Xenopus tropicalis: one gene and its partners. The protein of the gene in region 4 interacts with the protein of the main gene of each other region in a biochemical or structural test. Links are inferred from orthologs where the notes say so. Each region holds a gene or a part of one and is shown on either strand. Other genes may lie near its edges. The genes, in order: tfap2a, epn1, ap1g1, eps15, fcho1, sgip1 and grb2.

The links.
Region 1: the proteins of eps15 (region 4) and tfap2a form a complex in vitro, tested with the Homo sapiens proteins (2 studies listed by BioGRID). The link is inferred for Xenopus tropicalis from reciprocal best matches to the Homo sapiens genes EPS15 and TFAP2A.
Region 2: the proteins of eps15 (region 4) and epn1 form a complex in vitro, tested with the Homo sapiens proteins (4 studies listed by BioGRID and IntAct, with this or other methods). The link is inferred for Xenopus tropicalis from reciprocal best matches to the Homo sapiens genes EPS15 and EPN1.
Region 3: the proteins of eps15 (region 4) and ap1g1 form a complex in vitro, tested with the Homo sapiens proteins (2 studies listed by BioGRID). The link is inferred for Xenopus tropicalis from reciprocal best matches to the Homo sapiens genes EPS15 and AP1G1.
Region 5: the proteins of eps15 (region 4) and fcho1 form a complex in vitro, tested with the Homo sapiens proteins (2 studies listed by BioGRID). The link is inferred for Xenopus tropicalis from reciprocal best matches to the Homo sapiens genes EPS15 and FCHO1.
Region 6: the proteins of eps15 (region 4) and sgip1 form a complex in vitro, tested with the Homo sapiens proteins (2 studies listed by BioGRID, with this or other methods). The link is inferred for Xenopus tropicalis from reciprocal best matches to the Homo sapiens genes EPS15 and SGIP1.
Region 7: the proteins of eps15 (region 4) and grb2 form a complex in vitro, tested with the Homo sapiens proteins (2 studies listed by BioGRID, with this or other methods). The link is inferred for Xenopus tropicalis from reciprocal best matches to the Homo sapiens genes EPS15 and GRB2.

The regions. Positions count from the first base shown.
Region 1 is NC_030682.2:90,356,221-90,359,720, forward strand, and holds part of tfap2a (transcription factor AP-2-alpha), read right to left. Parts: intron 3,487-3,500; exon of another isoform or gene 3,285-3,486; coding exon of another isoform or gene 3,192-3,284; intron 2,958-3,191; coding exon 2,523-2,957; intron 2-2,522; coding exon 1-1.
Region 2 is NC_030683.2:104,131,802-104,135,301, reverse strand, and holds part of epn1 (epsin-1), read right to left. Parts: intron 798-3,500; coding exon 711-797; intron 453-710; coding exon of another isoform or gene 450-452; coding exon 152-449; intron 1-151. UniProt on the Homo sapiens protein: Binds to membranes enriched in phosphatidylinositol 4,5-bisphosphate (PtdIns(4,5)P2). Modifies membrane curvature and facilitates the formation of clathrin-coated invaginations. Regulates receptor-mediated endocytosis.
Region 3 is NC_030680.2:59,329,871-59,334,015, reverse strand, and holds the start of ap1g1 (AP-1 complex subunit gamma-1), read right to left. Parts: upstream 2,801-4,145; 5' UTR 2,465-2,800; coding exon 2,450-2,464; intron 1-2,449. UniProt on the Homo sapiens protein: Subunit of clathrin-associated adaptor protein complex 1 that plays a role in protein sorting in the late-Golgi/trans-Golgi network (TGN) and/or endosomes.
Region 4 is NC_030680.2:96,281,152-96,284,651, reverse strand, and holds part of eps15 (epidermal growth factor receptor substrate 15), read left to right. Parts: intron 1-146; coding exon 147-255; intron 256-973; coding exon 974-1,009; intron 1,010-2,229; coding exon 2,230-2,546; intron 2,547-3,190; coding exon 3,191-3,260; intron 3,261-3,500. UniProt on the Homo sapiens protein: Involved in cell growth regulation. May be involved in the regulation of mitogenic signals and control of cell proliferation. Involved in the internalization of ligand-inducible receptors of the receptor tyrosine kinase (RTK) type, in particular EGFR.
Region 5 is NC_030677.2:111,226,859-111,230,358, reverse strand, and holds part of fcho1 (F-BAR domain only protein 1), read right to left. Parts: intron 3,492-3,500; coding exon 3,310-3,491; intron 2,462-3,309; coding exon 2,403-2,461; intron 1-2,402. UniProt on the Homo sapiens protein: Functions in an early step of clathrin-mediated endocytosis. Has both a membrane binding/bending activity and the ability to recruit proteins essential to the formation of functional clathrin-coated pits.
Region 6 is NC_030680.2:83,925,345-83,929,577, forward strand, and holds the start of sgip1 (SH3-containing GRB2-like protein 3-interacting protein 1), read right to left. Parts: upstream 2,801-4,233; 5' UTR 2,334-2,800; coding exon 2,324-2,333; intron 1-2,323.
Region 7 is NC_030686.2:44,468,157-44,472,426, forward strand, and holds the start of grb2 (growth factor receptor-bound protein 2), read right to left. Parts: upstream 2,801-4,270; 5' UTR 2,781-2,800; intron 2,756-2,780; exon of another isoform or gene 2,733-2,755; intron 1-2,732. UniProt on the Homo sapiens protein: Non-enzymatic adapter protein that plays a pivotal role in precisely regulated signaling cascades from cell surface receptors to cellular responses, including signaling transduction and gene expression.

The DNA of each region.
Region 1 (3,500 bases), on a different chromosome or scaffold from region 4:
GCTGCAAGAAAAAAGAAAAAAATATATATTATTACACTTTCATTAGAGTAGATTCGCTTACTGCTGTCAGTAGAGACAAAGATCTTGCCGTTCTAGATTTAATGCAAAACTGGATACAGTATCCCCAACGAAAAATTATATTAAGCTCCCTTTATACATGTATTGATATTTTCCTACATTTTTCGATTGGTTACTTGAACAGTATAAATAATAAGATTATAATACTCGCTGCGTCTCAAATACTGTTTATAAACGATAAGAGATTAAGGGTAAGTGCGACATGAATGAAAGGGGAGCCATAAAATATATGCAAGTATAATTGTGTGATGAGAGGGGTAAATCATTACTTATTGTAGGTCCCCAAACACTTCTGCCAGTGACAGTGGCAAGCAACATTAAACCGAAATAGAAAGGGAAATTTGTTTTAGTTCACCACAACACATTGAATATTTAGATGATGGTTTCCTAAGATTAAGTCTGAAATGACGTGGTTAAATAAAAATAGGATGCTGCAGCTTGGCAGGGTAAAATAACATGCATCCCTTTGTTTACAGCAAAAAAAAATTGGTCCTGATTCACTTTGGGGATATTACAGCTCTCTGGCAGTGTGATTTAAAGGCACAGTGCTTCGAAAAGGCTTTGTCCAACAATAATACAGATTGTAGCATTTTTTTTATCCCTTCCTGGATTTATGCTCCTGTTAATTGTGCCTGATCTCAATGATTCCGGGTGGATGGTACTAAGTTAGTCTATTACAGATTTTATTATACTCCATGCTCTCATTTGTAACTTGCCTAAAGTGCTCCTGCATTTAAGTATAATTAAATTGAGAAATGTTCAGCATTGACTTCTACAGTTCTTGTGTTTTAAGTATATGGGGAAATATGATCCCTTTATGCTTGCGAACTAAGCCCATAAAGTAAATGTACTGTGGTATATAAAACTTTGATTTCGGTGGTTTCTAGAAACGTTCACTTCAACACATCATCAGATCCACATTTAAGTACCCCATGGTGCTATTTTATCATTAACTAGTTTCCTAGATAGCCCAGACTGTTACACCCCCATCCCTACTCGCTTTGATACAGATTTAAACATCTTCAATGTGAACTCTGTTCTGCCATGTATCTACCGGGATCCTTTTCTATGTTCTGACATTTGTGGTTTCAAATGCTCAATATTTCTGTTTACACTGAACAGTCGTTTTATATTCTACAAAAATGAAGCCTAGACTGGCACTGTCCTTTGGCAATAAAATTAGTGAAACTGACACGCCTAGTGCATTGGGTCTATCTAGATAGGCATTCGTGTATACTATGTAATTGGGTAATCGCTACAAATTAACATTAGCCAATTTACCGTTTTGCAAATACATTAATGGTGAATAACTATGTTTATACATTTATGTTTCATAATGTATTTTGTTCTTATTTAATTCTTATTTAAATGATGTATACATTTAGGCCAGGGTGCCCACTTTAATAAATTTAGGGTTAATATTCGATTAATTATACAAAGTGATACATCATTTCTAATGAATCAACATTAATGGTTTTAAAGGCTTAAAATAACATCACGTGTGTATAGGGCCTGTTTAAATTTTTTTTTTTCATTCTTAAAGTGTGAATTTCTAATGGTTAAAACTGTCAAATCGCAACACCATGTAGCTAAACACATTTCATTTTATTACCTATTAATATGTTTAGACTGATATATGGATTCATTAACCCCAATGATCTGTTTAAATGAATAATGCAGAATATTTCAAGGTTAAAATGGAATTGTGGAATGTAGCTTTATTGATCTGTTTTCAGTATGTCTGGTGTTGGATATGGGGATTTGGGGGGGGGGGGTGTTGCTGAAGCAAACTATCACTGTCATGTTTAATTGTGAAACATTTTAATTGCATCCATTGATAACCGAATTACCTCCAAATAATTTATTGTTCAATCTTCCCATGATACCTAATCTAATATTAGTTGGGGAGGTGACTTTACTAAAGGCTGGTAACTCACTAACGATTCATCAGATAAACACATTGGTCCTTCTTTGTAAAAAATGAGGGAATTGGCAGAATAAAAATAGATCTAATAAATCAGGGGTTCGTCAGTCAGAAAAGCCACATGCAAGTACGCATTCAGGTCGCATTCGACTGTTCCTGCATACATTTCCTTAATTATAAGGGACATATTATTTATTACACAACACATCTATCCTGCCTGTGGCCTTAGGTTTTCAGTTGGTATAATTATTTTGGCAGATGCCCTTTATTCAACATACATGCTCTTGGAAAGCTGCAATTAAATTTATACGCTATAATGCGAATATGACTAGGTCTGGGGTTTCCCTATGGTCGCTTCATCCCACATAGATGCCCAATCTGTGGCCTTATCGCTCTAACTGAACTACAACTCCCCTAAATGTGTATCACAACTGGTGGGCGGCAGACTGGAGACCCGGCAGTTAAAGAAATACACTTGGCTTTAGTGTTAGATGGAGTGGATTGAAGGGATTATGCTTACCGATACGTCTTCAATTCCGTGAGGTATGGAGTGTAAAGGCAGGTCCCCCAGTCCTGAGCTGAGTCCATGAGGCCCATGTAGTAAATCTTCGTGCCTTCTGTAATCCCTCCGTGGGTCCAGGCCAGAGAGCTGGTGCGGTATCCCCCGATGTGTGTGTAACAGACTAGTCTCTTGGCTCTGTCTCTGTCCCGGCCAGCCTGGGTGCTGTGGTTGTGGCTGGGTATGGAGGGCATTAAGACTATAGGGGTCATTGACGTGGGAGTAAGGATCTTGAGACTGGGGGTATATTGGCTGGTAGGGCGGAGGGAAGTAGGGGGGCTGGAAGTCAGCATTGGGAGTGTGAGAGAGTGGGGGGGCACTGGCATAGGGAGACTGTCCCACCGTGCCCAGTTGGGGTAACCGAGCAGTCCCATTGCTGGTGCCATCATGGCGATCCTACAAAAAAGACAAAAGCAAATTGTATTAAAGCGATACTCTTCAACTTAGCAGCAAGACCTTTAAACTCCTTTCTGTACTGGCAGGAACTTGTTTAAGCTTTCCTTGCAGATACCAGTCTAAAGACCAGCATTTTGTCAGCAGAAAAGTATGTTTATTATACAGGCCCACAACACACGAATGTGCTGAAAGATGCCTATAAATACATTAAGGCAATGGTTAGCACAGACTCACATTTCTGTTGGAATCAGTGGCCATGTTCTTAGATAAAAGTGCACGGCCCTCTTGCATGTCTACAGAATAAAAAGCCTCAGCCGCACAAACCATAATGGTTTGTTATGATCTGAGAGACAAGTCTGTCTTTTATTAGAAATGCCTGTTCCCTTTGCATTTTGCTGCAAAGAACCCTTTGTAACAATGTGCTCAGGCTGAACAAAAACATCATGGATTTATAGGAAGTACATCGAAAGCAATCAGCGACTGCACTACACGTTTAAATAAAAAACCAACCTCAGGATAGAAAATATACACACAATATTTTTC
Region 2 (3,500 bases), on a different chromosome or scaffold from region 4:
TCTTGGACATTGGGGTTTAGGAACATTTATATACACGCTTGTGATATTTATATTGGATCTGTTTTTTTAGGAGTCTCCCTAGTAGGCAGACACAAAAAAGATACATCAATATGTGGCCAACATCCATACGTAACAACCTTAATCCACCTACCTCCTGGATTCCATGGATCAGACACAGCTTTGACATCGGCAGTGGTAACCGCTTGTGTTCCACCCCAGGGGTCAGCAGAAGTGGAGTTTATCTGTGCACCAGTTCCCCATGGATCAGAGCTTGCACCTGTAGCCACTGGAGGGCCTCCCCATGGGTCAGACGCTGCTGGTAGTGTAGACGTGGCAACTCCACCTGCCCATGGATCTGCAGGGGGAGCAGCTGAGGCACCCCATGGGCCTGCAGAAGCGGCAACTGGTGCAGGGGGGCTGAAGACATCAGCTAAATCCATTAGTGATGACTGCTGGAGTAACAAATATAAAATAAGCTTTTCACAGAATATAAAAGGAACCAAAGCGCATTAAATTAAATTTATAAATGCATAATGCAGTGGGAAATAAATATAGATGCAATATTCCACAATTTGGTACTGTAAATGCTAGACAACTGATGTTCAGCCACTCCGAGGCTGAAATTACATGGGATCATTGCCATTTAATTACGCTATGAATTGGCATCATCAACCACATCCTCACTATACAGATAAAAAGTCACAGATCACCTCTTCCTGCTTGGAAGGTGCCTCTTTTTTGCTCTCCTCTATAGCCATTTGAAGCCGGAGGTCATCTCCTCGTCTGATCCTCTCCTCCTGATATAAACAGAAATGAATAAATAATGTCTTGTTATCCGTCTCAGCAGCGCACTGGGGAGATTTCATTTACTCTTGACTCAAGTGAAAGCGTTACAAATAATGTACGACTTGCGGATGTAATGGTAAAATAGGAGACGCGTGCCATGGTCTAGAATGTTTTCTTAAAGCAGCAATCATAGCAAATAAGTTTTCCTACATAACCCAGGGAAAGAAAGGGTTTTAAAGGAGAAGTAAAGCTTAACCAAAGATATAGGGCAGAAATACTGTACATTGTACACGTTTTGGGTTCCTGTACCAGCCCAAGGCAACCACAGCCCTTTAGCAGGAAAGATCTGTGCCCCCAAAGATGCCCCAGTAGCCCCCCATCATCTGTTCTGCTGATTCACTGCACATGCTCTGTGCTGCTGTCACTTACTGAGCTTAGGGACCCACTCACAATATACTGTATATATAGAATAGAAATGTCACAATATAAGGCTGATGAGTAAATAATTTAGATTATAAGTACATGGCAGCTTAAAAAAACAGTGCAATTAGCATTAGTTTTTTGCTTGATAATTTGAATAACCCCTAAGCTTGGCTTCTTAACAGCTGCCCAGACCACACTGAGCATGTATGTGTCACTGACACTTCTAACAGAATTCAAGATGGGGGAGCTCCTGTGACAACTTTGAAGGACTGAATCATTCCTGCTACAGACATGCTGAACTTTTAGGTTGGTGCATTAAGTTCGGTATACAAAACATGGCATAGCCATATTAAATGTTTATGGTTTAGTTCTTTAAGTATGGCCCTGCTCTTAATTTCAACAGCTTAAACAGCTGTTAAAGAGAAGGGCTCCCAGGATATGTACTGGAATTATTTGTATGTTTGGGGAAAATAAATGTACAAAGAAGCATACACTTTCAAGCATGTACAGTTTAACACGTTTGTATTCCATAAGCTAGAATTGCTGCTCAGATTTAGGATAGGGGGACTGAAAATTGGGGAATACTCCGACCCTGTCAGGGGAAATGTGCAGTTCTACAGTGAAAATGATGGTGAGTTTTCATGGAGACAATAAGAGGAAGATGGTTAATAATACATATATATATATATATATATATGTTAGGTGCAAGTAAATATGAAAATGAGGATTTTTTGCAATCAAAGGAAATTGTTACCCCAAAATCAACACAAGGCAATTTACACACACTGAAAGAATCATGCTTTTGGTACATACTGTACAGCGGGTACAGCACTTATCTATTTGTATGTATTATTTATACATGTCTATGTGAGGTTTGGCTTGCCATTTTGGAAGTTTAGTGCCAACTGCTTTGTGTTAGTAAGTGGGGGGGGGGGGTTCAGATGACAGATGACCAATCTGTGACGCATGCAAGGCAGAAAAACTAAAGACACTCATAATGAAGCTGCAATCTACTGCATCCAGCTTGGACTAGAGAGTCACATCTAAAAGCTGTTTCAGGAATAGTAACAGAGACAATATAGGATGGTTCTCATAAGGGTCACTGACTGACATGATCGCTATAAAGAAAACCTTCATGCACCCTACAGAGCACATATAGATTCCCCGAGGCTCAGAATAGATGTGTAACACCAGGAGTTTGGGGGGGGAAACTTTATTATTAAATGTCTGACAAAGCCTCTAACAAAGCTTGCTTACCTGCACGTTTGCTAGAAATGGAATTACAGGAGGAGTGGGAGAGCACTTTTTATACTTACCTTTAGCCATATTTAGTATCAAGAAATCAGATTTGAAAGCATAATTTCAGCATTATTAGTAAATATAACAAAAATCAACAAGTGATCAGGTGATGCTGCTGACTGCATTGTTATGGGAGAGGAAACATCATTATAAAGACAGGTTAGAAACTGTGGATTCTGGTTTTTATCTGTGTGTATAAAATCTTTTCTAAAAGAACACACCGCCGTACATTAAAGGGGTGGGTCACCGTCAGGTTAACGTTTAGTATGTTACAGAATGGCCAATTCTTACAACTTTTCAATTGGTCCTCAATTTTTCAATTGGTCCCATGTGTAGTTGGACAGGACCCGTAGCCGTGTCACATGACCTCTGGAGCTGCAGCGCAAGACAGACGCCGTGGGAGGAGACGTTTCATGAGAGATCCAAATCAAAATCAGCACGGAAAGGAATCCGGAGAATTTTTATATAAGGCACCCTCTGCCAGGAGAGTTAGTACTTAGCCGAGAGCAGGGGAGTGCCTTAGGTACAGACTGCACAATAAATTGTTTGTGATCGGGAGATTAGAGGGAATGACACGCAGGATTTGTGAGAAGTTTACTATCTGGGAGGACTCTGGTTCTATTTAACTTAACCTGGGACTATTGGTAGCTATATGCTATGGACACTCTATTTAGGAATTGGATGCCATACAGGAGTGCTGTAAAGTTTTTCCCTTTGTTTCGTCTATTCATTTAATTTTATTTTTACAGTTTTTGAATTATTTGCCGTCCCATTCTGACTTTTTGCAGATTTCAAATGGAGATCACGGACCCCGGCAGCCAAAAAAACTATTGCTCTGGGAGGCTACAATTTTATCGTAGTACGTATCTTTCTATTTAGGTCCTCCTCTAGTCATATTCCAGTCTCCCTTTTTAAAGCCACTTCCTAATTACTAGGTTAAATTGGACCCTAGCAACCAGATAGCTGCTGAAATTCCAAACTGGAGAGTTGCT
Region 3 (4,145 bases), about 37 Mb from region 4:
CACAGCTTTGTCAATGCTATACATATATGTTCGATCTACAAATAAAACTTGTTTGTGGTGCGTAAAACCAAGATTTTATTTTTCTCTTATAACCAAGTCTGGGCTCTTCGCATATGTCATGCAGCCTCCATATCAACCTTACTGCTCAGGAAATGTAACCAGCAAAATAGTCCTCTCTTACTGGACCTTTATGCTACTGTCATAAACCTGCTATTTATCAATAGATATTTCTATAATTTAATTTGAGCCCTCATTTATTAGCTAATGCAGCCTAGAATGTATTTGGTTTGTGAGCAAACTCAGTGCCTCATATGGTCCAAAAGGAGGAACTCTGGTACTTAAACTTACAATACTGTATCCTGGGATGATACACGGAAAAAAATAAATGTATTAAAAAAAGCTTTATTTACAGGAAAACTTAAATTTTTTTTTTTATAATAGAGATCTGCAATGTTCTGGGGTATTGTTATTCAGTTTTTAAAAAGCAAATATTCCACTTTATTTGGAATGTGCAGGTCAGTAGCAGTGCTCTAAATTATAGTTGAATGTACATGCCAGGACTAACTTGCACTTGCTCAGTAAGGGCAAAAGGAGAACAAAACTAAAAAGGAGAACAACAAAAGGCGCTTGCGCATAAACAATGAAAATGACTTCTAAAATGTATATGTAAATAAAACTGTGAAGCATGCACTATGGAGGTCTCTAATGCACATTTCTGGAAGCAGCAGGCAACTGTACAAAAAATACATGCACCTATAACTAGCAGGCAGTATAAATCAGCTGCTTTTACTAGGAAACCAATTTTATTGAGTCAGCAAAGTGATTATTTAAATTAAAAAAAAAAAGTGTTGACACTTTGAAGATATTTTAATTTGTATCAGCGGTTTCCTAGGAGAAAATCATGTTACTAGAAAGGGAATGTAATTTTGTCCTCTTTGTTAACCAACATTCTACAAGACATCATAATGTAATACACAACATGTATTTCAACTAACCTACGTGTTGCTACTGTATTCAAAATGTAATTATCTATGAAAGTTACAAAATTATCTTACACAGTAATTACTTAGGTACCGTGTTCCTCTAAAGGTTAGGTAGTCCGGCAAAATATGTTACTTGGAAATAACAAAGCACATGTACAGCATGCATACTGTCATATTTAAAGCCTATAATAAATGAATGAGATACGGTGTGTAATACAGGTATGGGGCCCATTATCCAGAATGCTTGGGACCTGGGGGTTTTCTGGATAAGGAATCTTTCTGTAATTTGGATCATTATACTTTGTCTACTAAAAAATAATTTTTTTTTAGTAGAAAAAACTTTTTTTTTTTACCTTCAATAAGGATTATTATGTCTTGGTATCTGTATATGGTACTGTTTTATTATTACAGAGAAAAATGAAATCCTTTTTAAAAATGAATGGTTTCATTAAAATAGGGTTGATGGCCTTCATATAATCTGGAGCTGTTTGGGTTTCCTGATAATGGATCTCATACCTGTATTATGTGTCAACACTATATAGATCCTGTATGCTTTTATACTTTTCCATAGTGGATTACAGGCTCCTGACATTGCACACACACACACACACACGTATATAAAAGATGAGGGGAGTACTAAGATATAGGCATAAAGAATGAGGTGTACAGAAAAACTTGACATACATGGGCATAAAGATATGGTAAACAGACCCTTCAATTATTGGGTGGAACATGAGTGTAATGGCCGCCAATGAATGTTCCCTCTAATTCGTTCTTGGCTATGTGCTTAAAATAATTCTTTTGGGCGCACATTTTAACTGTGTAATCCACAATTTGTTGTGTGCACTGGCCTCAAAATTCACACACAAAGCTAACATTGCCCCAGCTGGTGTACAATATCAATGTAAGCCTATGAAAAATGTCACCTTCCCCAAGGGCTGTGGGGCCAATACATTTCCAGTTATTCCATGTATACCAACAGACGCAATACACACAGACTACATAAGAACTTATATATAAGCAGACAGAGTGACAGCAAATGAAACCTCAAGTGTCCCTTATAGTGGACAGAAATCACAACACATATGAATTAACCCACACAGACTTTTAGCTGTCACAACCCTATCTCACAAGAAGGCTATCCAGATGCACCTCAGAAAATCCCTAAATGCCCCTGCCATACATATAGTCACTTGTGCAACAAGTCTAATGCCAAAGTCTTTCACGGACACCCTTCCACCAGATCACTGAAGCTACATTAATATTTACTGACACAGACAACACACGCGTTATCAGGCTTTCGTTCTGTCAGTGTCCCTTCACCATTGCATACAGCCTCTGGTCAGTGATCTTCCACTTTCTTCCTCACGCCCCACTATTCACAAATTAAGTGTCACTGATGCCCTCAGAGAGATTCTAGTCACACTATTGCTGTCAGTCCCCTCCAACCTGTCACTAGCCTCCACCTTAATCACTGTCATTAGCCAAGGGTCTTTCCTCTCACCGCCCGGTACTGCTGCTCTCTCCACGGCTCCGGGACAAACCAAAATGGCGGCTGCTGGGCCGCAGCACCGCGGCTGTGCGGAAGGATCCCGTAGAGTCACCGGCTTCAAGACCAGCGGTCAACACTCCGGATCTTTATAAAAACGCCAAACGTGTTCCAAACGACAGCCTGTATACCGATCGGCTTCGGAACTCAAGAAGCCACCCAGGGCCGGAACTCTTTGCTCTACGCGGAGGGACACTGGCAAGTTGACAGGGCAGCCAGTGATGACGTCAACTCTGTGCCCCGTCACTACCAGACCCGGAAGGAAGAGAGGGCGGTGCCCCTATTGTCACGTGCCACCTGACCCAGGTAACTATGGGCGGGGATTATGTCAACCAGAGTTCTGAGCTTGTCATTGAGCTTCACTTCCTGTGATTGTGCCACAGCCTGTTATACTGACCTTTCTAGTTAGGGAGCATTAGCCAAAGCCGTTCCTGTAGCGCTGCCTAATTCTCACATGGAACTGGAGCCAGCCAGTCGCTCTGCTAGTTGCATATGTGGGCAGACGGGGAACCCTGGCGGCAGTATTATCGTATTTCCGTTCCTAATATATATTGGAAGTCCTTCCCAAGGGTTGGAGACCTGGCCAGTAAACTTGATTGCAAATAAAGCTAAAAACATAGAAAGGATGTAATTATTTTTTTTTTTACAACATTAGAGGTCCAACATTTTGCATTTCAACTAGTAGGGCTTATTTAATAATATCTGCACTAAAATGAATAAACTTTGGTTTTTCAATAGCCTACTAGTCTACTACCAATACAGATATGAAAGAAAATACATATTTTAATGCTGTAGATAACTTCCCTGGTGCAATTTAGTCCCTGCAGTATGCTTGAAAGTTTGTGAATCCTTTAAAATGTTCTATATTTTTATATAAATGTGACCTAAAACATCATCACCTTTTCAATCAAGTCCTAAAAGTAGAACTGAAAGTAGAAATGAAGCAAAAAGTATTATATTTGGTCATGTATTTATTGAAAAAAATGATCTAATAACATATCTGCGAGTGGCAAAAGCAAGCGAATCATGCTCTCAGTGTTTGGTGTGACCCTCTGGTGCAGCAATAACTGCAACTAAATGTTTGCGGTAACTGTTGATGAGTCCTGTTGACTTTTAGCCATGGAATTTTAGCCCCTTCCTCCATACAGAACAGCTTCAGCTCTTGGATGTTGGTGGGTTCCCTCACATAACAATTGGATTAAAGTCAGGACTTTGGCATTGCTTTTCCAGAATATTTACTTTATTCTCCTTTAACCATTCTTTGGTAGAACGACTATTTAGGATCATTGTCTTGCTGCATGACCCACTGTCTTCTGAGATCAGTTCACAGACAGATGTCTTGACATTTTCCTTTAACACTCTCTGCAATAGTTCAGAATTCAGTGTTCCATCAATGATGGCAAGCTGTCCAGGCCCAGATACAGTAAAACAGGTTCAAACCAGAACACCCCCACCATCATGTTTCACTGATGGAATAAGCTTCTAATGCTGGAATGCAGTGTTTTTTTCTCCAAATGTAAAATGCCAACAATTTCTTTTTTATCTTCATCCATCACCAAAACATTCTTCCAGTATTTTTCTAGTTTGTCCACATGATCTTTAGCAAACTGTAG
Region 4 (3,500 bases):
TCTTTAGTGGATATAAAAAAGCACATTAAAAAGGATCTACATTTGCACTGCAGTGTCCTTACCTTTTATGCAGTAGTAGAGTTTCTCTAATGAATCAGCTGAACCTGAAGTGGAACTGAATTAATGTGAAATGTTTTTTTCTGTAGGAGGTCAGTTTTCAGGTTGATCCCTATGACGTGAATCCAGTTGCTCCCCCTTCTGCTCCTGTCCAAGATCCCGGATTGGATTTCTTTCAGAGTGATCCTTTTGTTGGCAGTAAGTCATAGAAAATGTCTGATTGAGAAGGTGTTCAGAATACCACAGGTTTACTTCTTATACAGAAAAATAAACAAGAGTTGAATGCCATAATGGCTCTTCACAAGACTACAGACTGACTGTAGGACATTTCTTGCCAAGAAATACTTTATTTGTAGGTGCCTGATGAATAGATACAGGCTTGAAAAAGTGGTCATTTTAAGAATTGCCTGCAACTTCCTTAAGGCTGACAAACCAGGAAGGGAATCCTCATACTTAAAGGAATGGTAACAAGTGTTTTAAAGTAATTAAAATGTAATGTGGTGTTGCCCTGAATTGGTGTGTTTGCTTCAGAAACACTGCTATAGTTTATATAAACAAGATGCTGCATAGCAGTGGAAGCAATTGAAGTACGGCTAAATGACAGAGGTTAAATAGCAGATAACGGATAAGCTCTGTAGAACATCATTATATTCTTTAGAGCTTATCTGCTATATATGCATTTTATCCCATGAATGGCTGCCCCCATGGCTTCAAAACAGCTTATTTGTATAAACTATCATAGTGTTTCTGAAGCAACACTACATTGCATTTTAATTGCTTTTTATTTGGAAAACAATTATGTATGCTATGTTAAAAAAAACATAGTTCTTAATGTCTGTCCCTTTTAAAGCAGGTTTGAAAAGCATGTGGACCTTACATATGGTTTTATTTGCATATGATTTCATTTATATTCCAGGCGATCCTTTTAAAGATGATCCATTTGGGAAAATAGGTAAATTTTCTTTTTAATTTTTTTTTTTTTTAATGTAAATGTCTGCTTTGGCATGTATGAACTGAAATCCTGTGTTATTGTGGTCTTATATATGGAGGCACATGCACTGTTTCCTTCACTAGTGTAAAAAGCTGATCCTCTGCCTTCCACTACATACATGTGTGTGCGACATGGGATCAGCCCATAATCAATGTGTACACAGAGAGCAGATTTTGATGCGTACTGTACTGAAATCTGCTCTGTGTGCACTGATGGGCTGAACCCTTGCCTAACAGCGCACACATTCAGTTAGCATAACTATTGATTGTTGTTCTTATATTTACAGAGATATATCAATCCACTAGTTATATATAGATAAACCCCATATGTTGTTTTACATGAGGGGTTGTTTACTGATTCCCGGGGTGCAAATGCTTAACAAGCACTCAAGCCTCAGGGAATGCTGCACTCTGGATTAAAAATCTAGAGCTGAGAGTGCACCAAGCAGAGTGTGTTAGGGTAAGGCACCATGGAGTGTTGGTTCTGCTGGTCTGAGCCTTGAGTTTTGTCTCAGCTTGAGAAAAGCGAAGGTGCTCCTGTTGGCCTAAAAACACCTGCTTAAGGGGCCTTATCCATAGGGGGCACAGGCAACAAGGCCCACTGCTGCTCCTTAACTTGCACGTCTGAATGTCGCACCAGTTGGGGGCTGGGTGAGGACACATACATGCCCATCCCCCCTTCAACAATACCATGCTGACTAATGCAGTCATGTAGTCAGTATTTATGGGGAAAGAAGCAGGTCTCTGCATTCCTACTTTGTACACTATGTTCTGTTTTGTTTTAAATTACTCCTATATTATTTTAAATCTGGGCACATAAACCTATTGTCCAAAAGCCTGTACGTTATGAAAGTCTCTGAATATGACACGGTGCATATGAAATAATTTTCTTGAGGGTCGTAGCACAAGTCACCTAAAATACCTTTTCACTAGCCAACATTTTGATGGTAACCCTGACTGTATCCCTTAAAAGCTTAAAAGGAAGTATAAACATTTAGTAGTGTTAGAATGTTTGTGAAGTCTAAGGAGATATCTCTGCCTAGACTAGCAATATATGGCAACACTTATCCATGTATATAAACTTTAATAAATAAAAAAAAAAAAAAAGCTTCTGTTTGAATTGCCACATGTAAAACAAGACTTTTTTTTAAAAAAAAATCTTTTTTTCTCTGTTCCTGACAGATCCATTTGGTGGGGATCCTTTTAAAGATTCCGATCCGTTCGCCTCTGATGTATTTTTCAAACAGGCTTCTGCAGATCCTTTTGCATCTTCTAAAGTGGATTCTTCTAAAGAAGATCTTTTCTCCAAGTCCAAAGCGGATTCTTTCACATCGTCGAATGCAGATCCATTTGTGTCCTCCAAAGCAGAGTCTTTAACATCTTCAAAAGCTGATCCTTTCCAGCCCTCCAGCGCTGATCCTTTCAAGTCCTCTGAACAAGATCCTTTCACATCTGCCAAAGTTGATCCTTTCTTAGCCACAGAAAGCACTTTTTCTTCTGTACGTATCTGTATACTGTGTGTCCCGCACATGTGATATAAAATGGAAGACCTGCTTATGGCCCTCTAGATGATGTTAAGCTTAGACTGTTGTTGAATAATTACTCAGAGCATTTTTGGAATATGAATCATAGCTGTTATTGTATAAATATTCAGTTGAATATTAGTGGGGCGGATTAGCTTTTATTACTTTATCATTGATAAAGTGGAAGCACTGTACCATATGTAAGGTTGTACTCTTTCTGCAGCAACATGTTTTCTTCTCAGTGTTAGTTTTAACACTCTAGCTACTTTAGAAATACCAGCTGATGTGAGCACATATTTTATTGCAAACAGATAATGCAAACTGGCATAATGATAACCCTAAAAGCATAAAAACTGAACTGTGCACTGAACTTTACTCAACCTCTCACTAATGGGAAGGCAAATTCAAATCCACATTAATCCATTTTTATCTAGGAGAAGCATCATGGAAACACTGGAATCTATGTAGCACGGCTGAGTCATATGCATTAGATTTGTTTATAGAGCCAAACCTTCCCACCCCAATGTGTCATGATTAAAACATACGCTTTTTTTATTTTTTTAAACAATAATGTTCTGTTTTTATTTACAATTAATAAGCATATTTTATCTTTTCTCAAGGAAGACACTTTAAAAAATAATGATCCATTTGCTCCAGGTGGAACTGTAGTCTCAGCTGTTAGTGAGTCAGGTGAGTCAGCCTTTCTTTTTCTTTACCTTTAGAGAATGCTGGGAATTGAATTATGGACACATGATGGACACAGTGCAGCATCTCTGCTATGTCTGCATGAGCAAATTGTATTTGTCTTTTGTCCTGCAAAATGTATATAATTTTATTTTCCTTTGTACTGTCCATAGCATTATTTACATCATATTTTTGGCATGAGTGAGATAGTTAAACTATCTGTCATGATTTTTATGGTGTACTCTT
Region 5 (3,500 bases), on a different chromosome or scaffold from region 4:
AAAGTCTATATAAATCCTGTGCTTTCTTCTGTAGTTCTGACTATGTTTTGCTCAGAACCCACGTATGTGTCTAATAAACCTTACCTAATTACCTCAAATGACTTTCGGTATCTTAAATTTCATAACAGAAGCAATGCAACACACCTGTGTCACAAACATTATGGTGCCCTGAAATGAGGGGGGCTATGTATAAAAAATGTTGTAATTTATACATGGTGAAACTGAAATGTATGCAAATATTTTTAAATTACAAAAAGAGAGGGGGATTGATCAATGCACATTCCCTGGTCCCAGTGCACGGGAGTTCCAGCCTTTGAAAAATATGACCAGAGGTAAATAGATAGGACCACCATACAGTGTTTACCTTGATGTGTATGGTGGCTTACCAATCTTATGATCATAATTTTGTAACTAAAAACCCCTGTTTTTTGTCAATATATGCACTAGCATAGATAATTTACTTATGAAACAGGGGACCAGGGAATGTGCATTGATCAATCCCCCTCTCTTTTTGTATGCTTGTAGTTGGCCAGATCAGTCGCTCCCACAACCCCTTTCTGTGTATTTTTAAATTACAGTCTGAAGTGCACTTTAATCGCATCTGAATTGTTTGATTTAAAATTTTACACTAAGGGGCAGAGAGGTAAGTCAAAGAAAAATGCGTCTTTGTCCCAAACATTACGAAGAACAATGTAGATAAGAACTATTTTATATTGAAATGTTAGTTTTGCCAGCTACAGTTACACAAAAGTAGGCATAAGCCATCTTGCATCCATGTGATTGGAAAAGCTCACAGACAAATATCTGCATATGCCACATGTACACCAGAAGTGATATCTATGAGAAAGCAAAGAATTATCTAAAGACCCACTTAAAGGAACAGTAACACCAAAAAATGAAAGAGCTTTAAAGTAATAAAAATACAATGCACTGTTGCCCTGTACTGGTAAAACTGGTGTGTTTGCAACAGTAACACTACTATAATTTATATAATAAGCTGCTGTGTAGCCACAGGGGCAGCCATTCAAGCTGGAAAAAAGGCACAGGTTACATAGCAGATAACAGATAAGTTCTGTAGAATACAATAGTGTTTTATCTGTTATCTGCCATGTGCCTGTGCCTTTTCTCCTTTGAATGGCTGCCTCCATGGCTACATAGCAGCTTATTTATATAAATTATAGTAGACTCTCTGAAGTAAACACACAACTTTTACCAGTACAAGGCAGCAGCACATTATATTTTAGTTACTTTTATACACTTTCATTTTTTGGTGTTACTGTTCCTTTAAAGTTTATGTGCTTTGATTGATTGATTTCAATTAAAGGAATACTGTCATAGGAAAACATTTTTTTTTTTTTTAAAACGCATCAGTTAATAGAGCTTCTCCAGCAGAATCCTGCATTGAAATCGTTTTTTCAAAAACACAGTTTTTAATATTTAATTTTGAAGTTTCACATGGGGCTAGCCATATTCTTCATTTCCCAGTGTGCCACAGCCATGTGACCTGTGCTCTGATAAAATTCAGTCACACTTTACTCCTGAGCTGCAAGTTGGAATGATATCACCCCCCCTCCCAGCAGTCGATCAGCAGAACAATAATAGCACTCAATCATAAGAAATCCAGGGTCAACTTATGGCATCTCCAGTTACATGGGAATAGGAGAAACAATAGGTTACCTGAAAGCAGTTCTAATGTGTAGCGGTGGTTCCTTCTGAAAGCTGAGACTCAGGCACAATGCACTGAGATGGCCGCCTACATACCAATATTACCATAAAAATCGTGACAGTATCCCTTTAAACCAGTGATCCCCAACCAGTGGCTCGGGGGCAACATGTTGCTCACCAAACCCTTGGATGTTGCTCCCCGTGGCTTCAAAGCAGGTGCCTATTTTTTAATTTCTGGTAAGGAGGCAAGATTTAGTTGCATAAAAAACAAATATAATGCCGAACAGAGCCTCCTGTAAGCTGCCAGTCCACATAGGGACTATTAAGTAGCCAATTACAGCGCTTATTGGCACCCCCAGGAACCTTTTTCTTTCTTGTGTTGCTCCACAACACTTTTTCCATTTAAATGTGGCTGACGGGTTGAAAAGGTTGGGGATCCCTGCTTTAAACCATCAAACTGATCAATAGGTCACCTTTGTTGCAGGGACATACAACATCTGTGATCACATCTAGGCTCCATGACCTAAGGAGTCCCAATGAGCAGAAAAAATAATTCAAAACTCACATGCAGAAGAGTAGGGACATGGGTAGATAGGTGAGAAGAAACTGGTTTAAGTGAACTGTAGGTAGCCTGTGCTTGGCTTGCACTTGGGGTCTAGTTACAATACTGGTTAAATAAGAATTTTACATTGTTGCATACTGTACAATGCATAAGAGAGTATGTGAGAGAGTGTTACCATCATGTTCATTCCCTGCAGGCTCATGAGGGATCTGCCAGTGTAATCTCCGTTCAGCACTAATGAAAGAGTGAAATTTAATTAAGAAGCTGTTCTGTAGAGGTTTGCTGCATATTATATATGACATTATTTCAATGTATCCATACATAAATATTTTATCTATACATTTAAAATCCATCAATGTAACACTCTGGCAGCACAGCATATAACCGTATAGAACAGGAGTTCCCAAATAGCATATTGGGATCTACCAGCAGATCTTGTACAATAGATCACAACAACCCGCACTGTCTGCATACAGATGCCTTAAATCAGGTAAGGAGCAATGGATTGAAAAATAGTTATTCATTGTTTATTTAAAAAATGTTATTGTTATTTAAAAAAAGAACACATTTTCTGTTGGCAAAAAGAAATGAAGTGACATTTGCTAAGGTAATATAAAACGTCAGGTGGTAACACTAAAAATAGACCACTGCATAATTTAAGCGTGGGCACCCCTGGTCTAGTGGTATGCAGTTATTACTGAATGCACTGAATTCTCTGAAAGTAAATACTATACAGTAGCTGCCAGATACTGGTTTGCATTGCAGCAAGGCCAGATTTTAGAATACAGACCAATGATGAGAAAATTATATAGATTATTAGATTTAGAGGTCCCTTCAGGTCCATCACTGCATAGTATCAAAGAGGATGATATTTTCCTAACCATCATAATAGGCTGGGCCATGCAGTGACTATAAACTATAATGTTTTTGTTATATTATCCAAAGAATTAACCTGTGGGCTGGGGCCAAAAAATGTTGAGCACATATAAATTACAAACACAGTATGCTTTATTTTGCTCTCTGTGAGGAAATCGTGATAATATATACATATGTAAAAACATTCAGTGCAGTTCTCTCCTCACCAGCGAGCAGGAGGGTCAGATTGCAAGTTAGAAAAAGGTTCATCCAGAGGCAACAAAATCTGCACATCACACAAAAAAGCAATGTTCTGTCTATAGTCCAAGCAGAGGTCTGTCGAGGATGGACCACACTTCCAAGTTGATGTGAGGTACAAAGGAGCTGCAGAGATGCCTGATTTTAATACCTGAGAATA
Region 6 (4,233 bases), about 12 Mb from region 4:
TCATGTATATTAATCAAAAATAGAAATTAACGAAAAAAAAACCAAATAAGAAATGGACATTTCTCACAGGAGTGGTCATAAAGCAATTGACATTTGCAGGGTTGTATAATCATATGTCTATACAGTTTTTGGCCATAACAATAACAATCATAAGACTGTTCATAAACTGGCAACTTAACAGGCCATGCACAGGGTAAAAATGATGGCCTGAGCTTAGTCAGATGTTTACTTGCAAGGCTGGACAATCCCATCTGTCAGGGCTGCATTAGGCAGGTAATAGATATGGCCCACATACTGGTCCAAGGAGCTAAATGATTCAATCATTCCAATTTAGATGTACTTGGTGTATGGCCACCTTTAGTTGGAAACAACGTTTCAGTGCAGGTAAGGAATGTACCAGGCCTAACTATCGATCCATTCCAAAATAGGCAACTTTGCTAGATATTAAAAGCATAGCCTGCAGTAAATATGTTACTTCAACCTGGATAAAGTCTTCAAGGTAATAATGTCAGTTGAAAAACACTTGTAAAATGTTATTAACTAAGAGAGACTCTGAATATAGCACAGTTCTCTTCTTAGCAATATTGACAAAACATATTTGAATTCAATTTTATTGCCAAACTGCGTCTATGACATTTGATGAACTTTTGATGAAGCAGGCAAAAAAATAGGTTTTCTATTGAGCATGCCATTGGGACCACAAATTACAACACAGGCTGTCAGCATTGGAAATAATGGAATTAATGTGTCCTCATTCAGCTCAGTTTACTTTTTTTGTACATATTTTCAAATGTCCAAACTTAGCTTGCAGAAAACTGTAAGATCATTAAGCAAGTGTCAAGTTTATAAAAAAAATGTCAAACACAACCATTTGGTCCAGTTTGATCAGCAATGCAATTATTAAAAAAAGTTATTTGAATAAATATGCCTACAGAGACCTTAGGCATGCTTGGAGGGCTATATCTGGCCCACAGGCATCCAGCTGGAGCCCTAAATAAGAGTTCACACTCAAATAAGTAATGTAGTATGGTCAGTATATATAAAATTGTTTATTCTACACTTAAAGTGTTACCTTTTAACATATTTGAAAAGCAAGTCAATGATTTGAAAGATTTATTGTATTTATTAAGAATTCATACAGCTCTTTAGTTTGATAGCCTCTGAAATAAGTGGGGTTCACAGCTTTCTAGTATGACAGCCTCTTAAATACATAGGGATAAATCATACTAAACTGTATGATTCCTATACTGAATCTAAAGCTAAACTTGTTCATCTCACAGGTGCTTGAAGTAGCACAGGTTGATATTTCCCATTTCTACGTCAAGAGGCTTTACTAAGTGATATTGCGCTGCTATGGGAATAGCCTAAGTGCAATGTTTATCAAGGTAACAAGTGATTGAGGACATCTGGACAACATCAGTTTGTTGCCAAGGCATTTTTTAACCGCCTAATAAACAAGATTAATTAGGGTCAACCTACTGATCAATGCTGTGAGAAAAATAATATACAAACCTAGGTATAACTCAACATTAAGTAATGGAAAACATTTGTAAATGCCTTTACAGCACAGACATTTTGGTAAAGGTTAAATCTAGTTGCGTTTTAGCAGGGTAAAGTTAAACGCTTTATCATTTGAAACTTTTTACTTAAATAATGAACCCAAAATATATCAATTGAGGAAAATACCATTAAATGCTTGAGCCAATTCCGGTATGAGACTAGCCACTGACTGAATACAGAGGAATGGGGGAGGTTACTAACAAAACACACCCAGCCCCTTTAATTCCTGCCATTCAAAGTCATTTATTCATAGAATCAATCAAGGAAGAGAGAGCATCTGGCCAGTGAAATGATTAAACCTTTCCTTAAAAAATTATTTTCTTAAAACAATCACAGGGAACACCCCCCCCCCCCCCCAATAAATGGCTAAGGATTTTCTTATTTATTTTTCGGTGGGTTGAGGCTGTTTGGCAAATTATACAGTGCCCTCTAGGCCTGACGGATTTCACTGACCTCTTACACTGAGACATATTGTGGTACCTACATATGTGCAGTTTTCTGTATTATAGGGTGAGGATAAGAGCTGTAGTTTAACTGATGGAGGGACCCACACGAATCATGGTTGCTAGCACTGAGGCAGTGTAATTAGGCAGCACTCTGTCACGGTGACACCGGGGAAAACTAAATGCCATCCCCTGCATTATACACAAGTTCGCAATATGGACGCGGAATGGAATTTGGTTACAAAGGGCATCGTGAGGAATTTCACTCCAAGGATAGGTGCCGGCGGAAAAAAAAACTGCAGAGCAGAAAATGATCCTACCTTCCATCATGGTGGCAGAATATCATTCCTCTATCTCCACGGAAGGCTGTGAACAAAATGCACCAAATGCTAGAGTCCAGTTCCACACACTGTTGACCCCCTATTCGGAGAGTGGTAAGCAGATATCTCAATGGCAGGAGAGATGCGAGTTTCCCCCCGCTGCAGCTAAAGGTACAGGCCAGGCTGCAGCTCTCACCTAGCGGATCCCATAAGGATGCTGAGCTCTAGACATTACCATGCTGAGATACAGAGGGAAGAAAAAAGGAGGTGGGGAGGCTCACGCAGCCTGCCAGGAGGCCAGCCAATCCCTGCAGCCCTCGGCCGAGTCACGTGGAGCGCACTTCTCATCTCCTGACACAATACACCCGAAGAGCCACCGTTATCTTGTGCTCTCCTGCCCCCTCACTCCTACCCCCAGGCAGCCAGTGACGCACTTCCCCTCCACCTAATCCTCTTGCGCTAACCTGGCGTTACATGTCGTTTCACATCCACTGGATTTCTGCCGTCTTGCGCGCTCCCACGTGATGCAGTTCGGACATCAACATATTAGATCCCAGAAATTATTTTTCTTATTCTACAATATATAGTACTATTAGTATAGTCGGCTCTGTTCACATAAACGTGCCTGGAAAACATGTAATAAATAGAAAATACACTATTACCTCAAAAACGTGTTTACACAGACGGAAGGTCCTTGTCTTGAAGGACCTGCCATCATACTATTAAGTTCAATCCTCTTTATTACAATACAGTTGTTAAAAGCACTGTTCTGTTCAGCTTGTATCTGTTGTCTACACAAAACCTCACTAAGTCATTTTGTGTTCAATAAAACATTTGATAATACATATTTATGAACTGTAGAAAATCCATACTAGAAAATTTTATCCCAGGCCCCAGTGGATCCAAGTAAAAAACAATATATAAAACAGAAAATAAATGCATAAAATAACACTTTTTGGTCAAATATTGGCTGGTTAATTTGTAAGCTAGGCAAAAGGGGCTAACAATGTAAAAAACATTAAAAAAAAGTCAAGACAAGTATGCTAAAACTTTATGTAAAACATCCCTACTAAATGTGTGTCACTGATATCAGGCACAATGTATTCTCTATTGTATATTAGAAGTCACTGGGGAGTCCCATAGATATATAAAGGCCATGCTTTTATACAGGTCAATGTACTCATTTTAATAAGTTTTAAAGTGCCATATAATACATTATTATTTGTAATTTACACAAGAATGTGAATTCATATATAAGTGAACAGGCCTGTGCCTCCCTGTAAAAGGTATATTGCCCTGCATTAGGCATAATAACAAATATTGGTATGATGCTATGGGGTTTGGATGCGTCTAGTTGTTAGTTTGGTATACTAAGCTGTGTGCTTGTGCGCGTGCACACAAAATTTTAAACCGGCGCATACAATAATTTGTGGTGCACTCAGAATTTTGTATAAATTCACAATTTTGTACTTATTCTGAAATGCGCACACCAGTATTTTTTTAAATAAGTGCACATGGTTCACGTGCACAAGTGCGCACAAAAGAAGATTGTTCCACACATAGCCAAAAAGAAATTAGAGGAAACATTGGTTCAGTAGTATGTTTAAGGGTTATTAACAAAACAGTGTAATAAAATAAAAGCCACAAAGTTTTCACCAACTCCAATACACCATACCAACCAATCAGATGATTGCTTTTCAATTGATTTTGACCAGTAATTTTTACTTTCTGATTGGCTGCTATAAGACATCAAAACTGATTAACACTTTGCAGTTTTGTAATGTTACCTCTACCAGGTATCTTACACTAAAAACTACATCGTTTTCAAAGGTCCCTTTGTGCTGTTGCCATGGCTGCGTCTATAAGTTTTGATGCACTGCAGGAAGGCCACGGTAGGTTCCATGTGTTGG
Region 7 (4,270 bases), on a different chromosome or scaffold from region 4:
TCATAATCAGATACATAACAAGCCATGGCCAGGTAGTGAAGCAATCAGCTTTGCTTGCTCTCCAGGCTGCGAGTAGCTACCAATCCCCACCCCTCAGCACAGGCCCGGGTAGCCAAAACAAAACATGTACATCCACATGAAAGGGAAAGTAACTGCGTAATTGCCTGGTTTACACAAGCACTTTAGCTGGATGCTGCTGCCTGACCGTGTGGGGTTAAGTGCTTTATATAAATAAGCCACACTGCACATTCAATATATTCTCACATACATCTAATCCACAAATAAAGTGTTTTAAAGGGCCCGTTTCAACAGCACAACTAGATGTTATGGGGCCCAAAGCCGATTAGCTACCCTTTATCAGCAGATTCCAACCCAATATGATAGGTTCCGAGCCATGTATTTGATCGCTGAGCATGCAGTGATCAGGCCTATATATTCCAAATGCAATCAAGCCTGCACCTCTAGAGTCCATAACAGGTGAATAGTGTTATTCCAAGAAATTTATAACCCTGATTGTGGCGTGTATGGGAGTGCAAGACAGCATAAAAGATAACAATGGGTTAACCACATACTCATAAGAGGAAATGCAAATAACCAAGACTATAGCTGTGTTACAATATAACGAAGTGAACAAAGTACAAATTCATCAAGGAAGAACTAGTATGAAGAAGGAAACAAATAATGGCCACCAGGTGGCGATGTTGCCACCGAAACCTATGGGGGGAAAAGGCTCGCACGAACTAAGTTCAATGGCAGCCCCCATCCTGCTAAATAAAGCAGAGGGAAAAAGATGTTCCGGGTACATAATTAAGCCAGTAAACAGATAATAAATATAAATAATAAATGCCGCATGTTGCAGGCATCTGTCAGAAACCAGCAGGGATGCGCCGAATCCAGTATTTGGCCAAGATTCAGCCGAATCCACAGTCCTGGCTGAACGGAATCCGAAAAATCACCAGACTTTTTGTCATGCAAACACGGAAGTTAAACATTTTTTGCCACGCGTTGTGTGCAATGCTAATTAGGAATCGGTCAAATGCTTTATATAGGATTTGGGGGTTCGCCAGATTCGGTGCATCCCTAGAAACCAGCATGTGAATTATACCCCAATCTCACCACACTGCCCCAGATTTGATTTCCTACAGTAAGTAATTAACACAAGATAAATATATACATACACTATAAATATACATGCAGCTGCGCCTCTAGCCCAGATTTTCTTTCTCCCACTTGCAACAGCAGGCGTCCCCTCAGCCCTCACATACAGTCTATATCCCCCCCCCCCCCCAGGTTTGGTATATATCCTCCAATCCCCCTTCTGCTCCTATAGCCCAGCAGGTCTGTATATCCTACTCAGAGTATAGGTCTTACACCCAGTGGCAATTCCCATTCACTTCTACTGGGGGTGAATTATAACATCTAAATGAGGGCAATTTGTCCCCCCAGAACAGACTCTATTCTTCCTTTCCCACCTTGCCCTTAGTTGCCAAGTCTGTGTCCCCCCCTGCCCCTTGTCTGGAAGCCAGTATAATATTTGCCCTATTTTACCCATCATCATCCTCCTCTGACAGTTCACTTCTCCCCTTGCTTCACCCTCATTAATCTCAATTTCCAGTCTATTCAGCTACTCAACTGTCCCTGTTCTGCCCCTGGTTTCACCCCCCCAGCACATCTGCTCTCTCTCGCTGTGTTACCCCCACTATGGTATCCCATCAGCAGTCTCTTTTCCTTTGTCACAGCTGTCACACACTGTTCCCAAGACACAATGCTCACAGTCAGCTATCACTCAGCAAAGGTTAATTAAGCCAATGAGGAGTCTGGTAGGGATGCTAAAAGCCAATCATACTGTGTGGGCCCATCTGACCCCACCTGGCCCTATCCACATGCTAATGACTGTGACTGCATATATCATGGCTGCACAGAAACCAGTGTAGCCCGCAGCACCAGAGAGTGAGATGTCAGTCCCGGCAAACTATCATTTCTCCCATTACACAGGTCCCCTCCTAAGGCTTGTGGCCCTATAAATGAATGTACAAGTAGGAGGGCCCCAAGCTGTGTGATTTCCCTACCCACTTCCCTTCTGAGGAATCCTGATATAGATCTCCCCCCCATCAGTTCCCCTTGCATTCAGCCCATCTCAGCACTTCCCTCAGTCTCCCCAATTCCCCCCACTTCCCCTTTCTGCCTCTCTCCCCCCAGCAGTTCCCTTACCCACAGCCACTGGCTGCTCCCGACCCCTACCCACAGCCACTGGCTGCTCCCGACCCCTACCCACAGCCACTGGCTGCTCCCGACCCCTACCCACAGCCACTGGCTGCTCCCGACCCCTACCCACAGCCACTGGCTGCTCCCGACCCCTACCCACAGCAACTGGCTGCTCCCGACCCCTACCCACAGCCACTGGCTGCTCCCGACCCCTACCCACAGCCACTGGCTGCTCCCGACCCCTACCCACAGCCACTGGCTGCTCCCGACCCCTACCCACAGCCACTGGCTGCTCCCGACCCATACCCACAGCAACTGGCTGCTCCCGACCCCACACCCGGCAGCCCCTCATCAGCCTCCCCAACTCCCTCACCCACTCTCCTTCCCAACAACATCGCTATCGCTCTGCGCACCCCTTCAACGGGCGCCACTCCTGCTGCTGCTGCTGTTGTACTACAGCTCCCACTATCCCCCCTCCTCCCTGGCAGCCCATGGGACTTTCAACTCAACAACAGCCGGACACCCACCCACCGCTACATCGACTTCTACGACACGGCTGACACTCATCTCCCCACCTCTCGATAGAGCTTTTCAGAACCCTCACCGAATTCCGCGGAGCCGCTTCTCCTGTCTCTCTCCCTGGCCGCTTCCGCTCCGCCCCGGGGCAGATCCTCCCGCGATACTTCCGGGGCTGCGTGAGTCCCTGCGAACGGCGCATGACGTCATATGAGACGTGAAACGCAACGCACTTGAGGGGCGGGGCAGCCCATGTTTTGTCAATACGGCTTGAGCTTGGGACAATGACTGCGGTTATTTGGTTATCTATAGTCATGTGTCCAAATGGTCACCAAATATTCACAACTCTCCTCTTGGCTGTACACATCACTAATAAACCTGTAACTCTCCCCTTGGCTGTACACATCACTAATAAACCTGTAACTCTCCCCTTGGCTGTACACATCACTAATAAACCTGTAACTCTCCCCTTGGCTGTACACATCACTAATAAACCTGTAACTCTCCCCTTGGCTGTACACATCACTAATAAACCTGTAACTCTCCCCTTGGCTGTACACATCACTAATAAACCTGTAACTCTCCCCTTGGCTGTACACAGGAATTATGGTATTTTTCTCCAGAAAAGGTGGCAAGCCTACACAGAACCCTATCATGGTGACTTCTCCCTGTGTGTTTAATGGTGTCCTGTGTGAAACCCATCTATATCTTCCCACATTCCAGGGCCAGTTTAAGGTAGGGTTGCCACCTGTCCGGTTTTGATCCAGACAACCTGGTTTTGGGAAAGTCAAACCCTCCTGCATTGATTCAGTGATCGGGCAATTGTCATGACCCCGCCTCTCCCCCCACCCACTTTCTCAGCTGGCAGAGGTGGCAACCCTAGTTTATGGGTATGGCAGGGGCAGCAGAAGATGTTTTTGGTTGGGGGCCAGGAGAGGCCCCACTTGTGCCGCCCACCCCTCTGCCTCTGTTTAGCCACAACTTCCAAAACCAGGGGGGGTGAGGGTAATTCTCTCCCCCAGTTCCAACGCCTATGGTGAGGGCATTTGCGCCATTGGTCAGTTAAGACCCCCTCACAGCAGGGGGTGTAGATGTAAAATAACACATACTACATTGAGGAGCAACTGATAGTTGTCTTACTGGAAAAAAAAAATACAGCGACCCTTTAATACAGTTCCTCATGTTGTGGTGACCCCCCAACCATAAAATTATTCCTAAGAACATCAGAAATATGTGTTTTTCAATGGTCTTATGCGACCCCTGTAAAAGGGTTGTTTGACCCCCGAAGGGGTCCCGACCCACAGGTTGAGATACAGCACTAACGGGAGCTACTAACCCTCCTGCCACTTGGGTGTCACCATGTCATTATCACTCAGTTCATCTTCCCCCCCCCCCCCCCCTTCACAATAGGAATGTATCATCTTGCAGTGCACCTTCCATTGCTTCAAAATAACATGGTAGAGCACTAAGGGGCGTTACTAGCACTCCTGCACAGACCCAATGCACCCTATCTTATCCTTTACTGTGCCTGAACTGGTGTGGCATTACA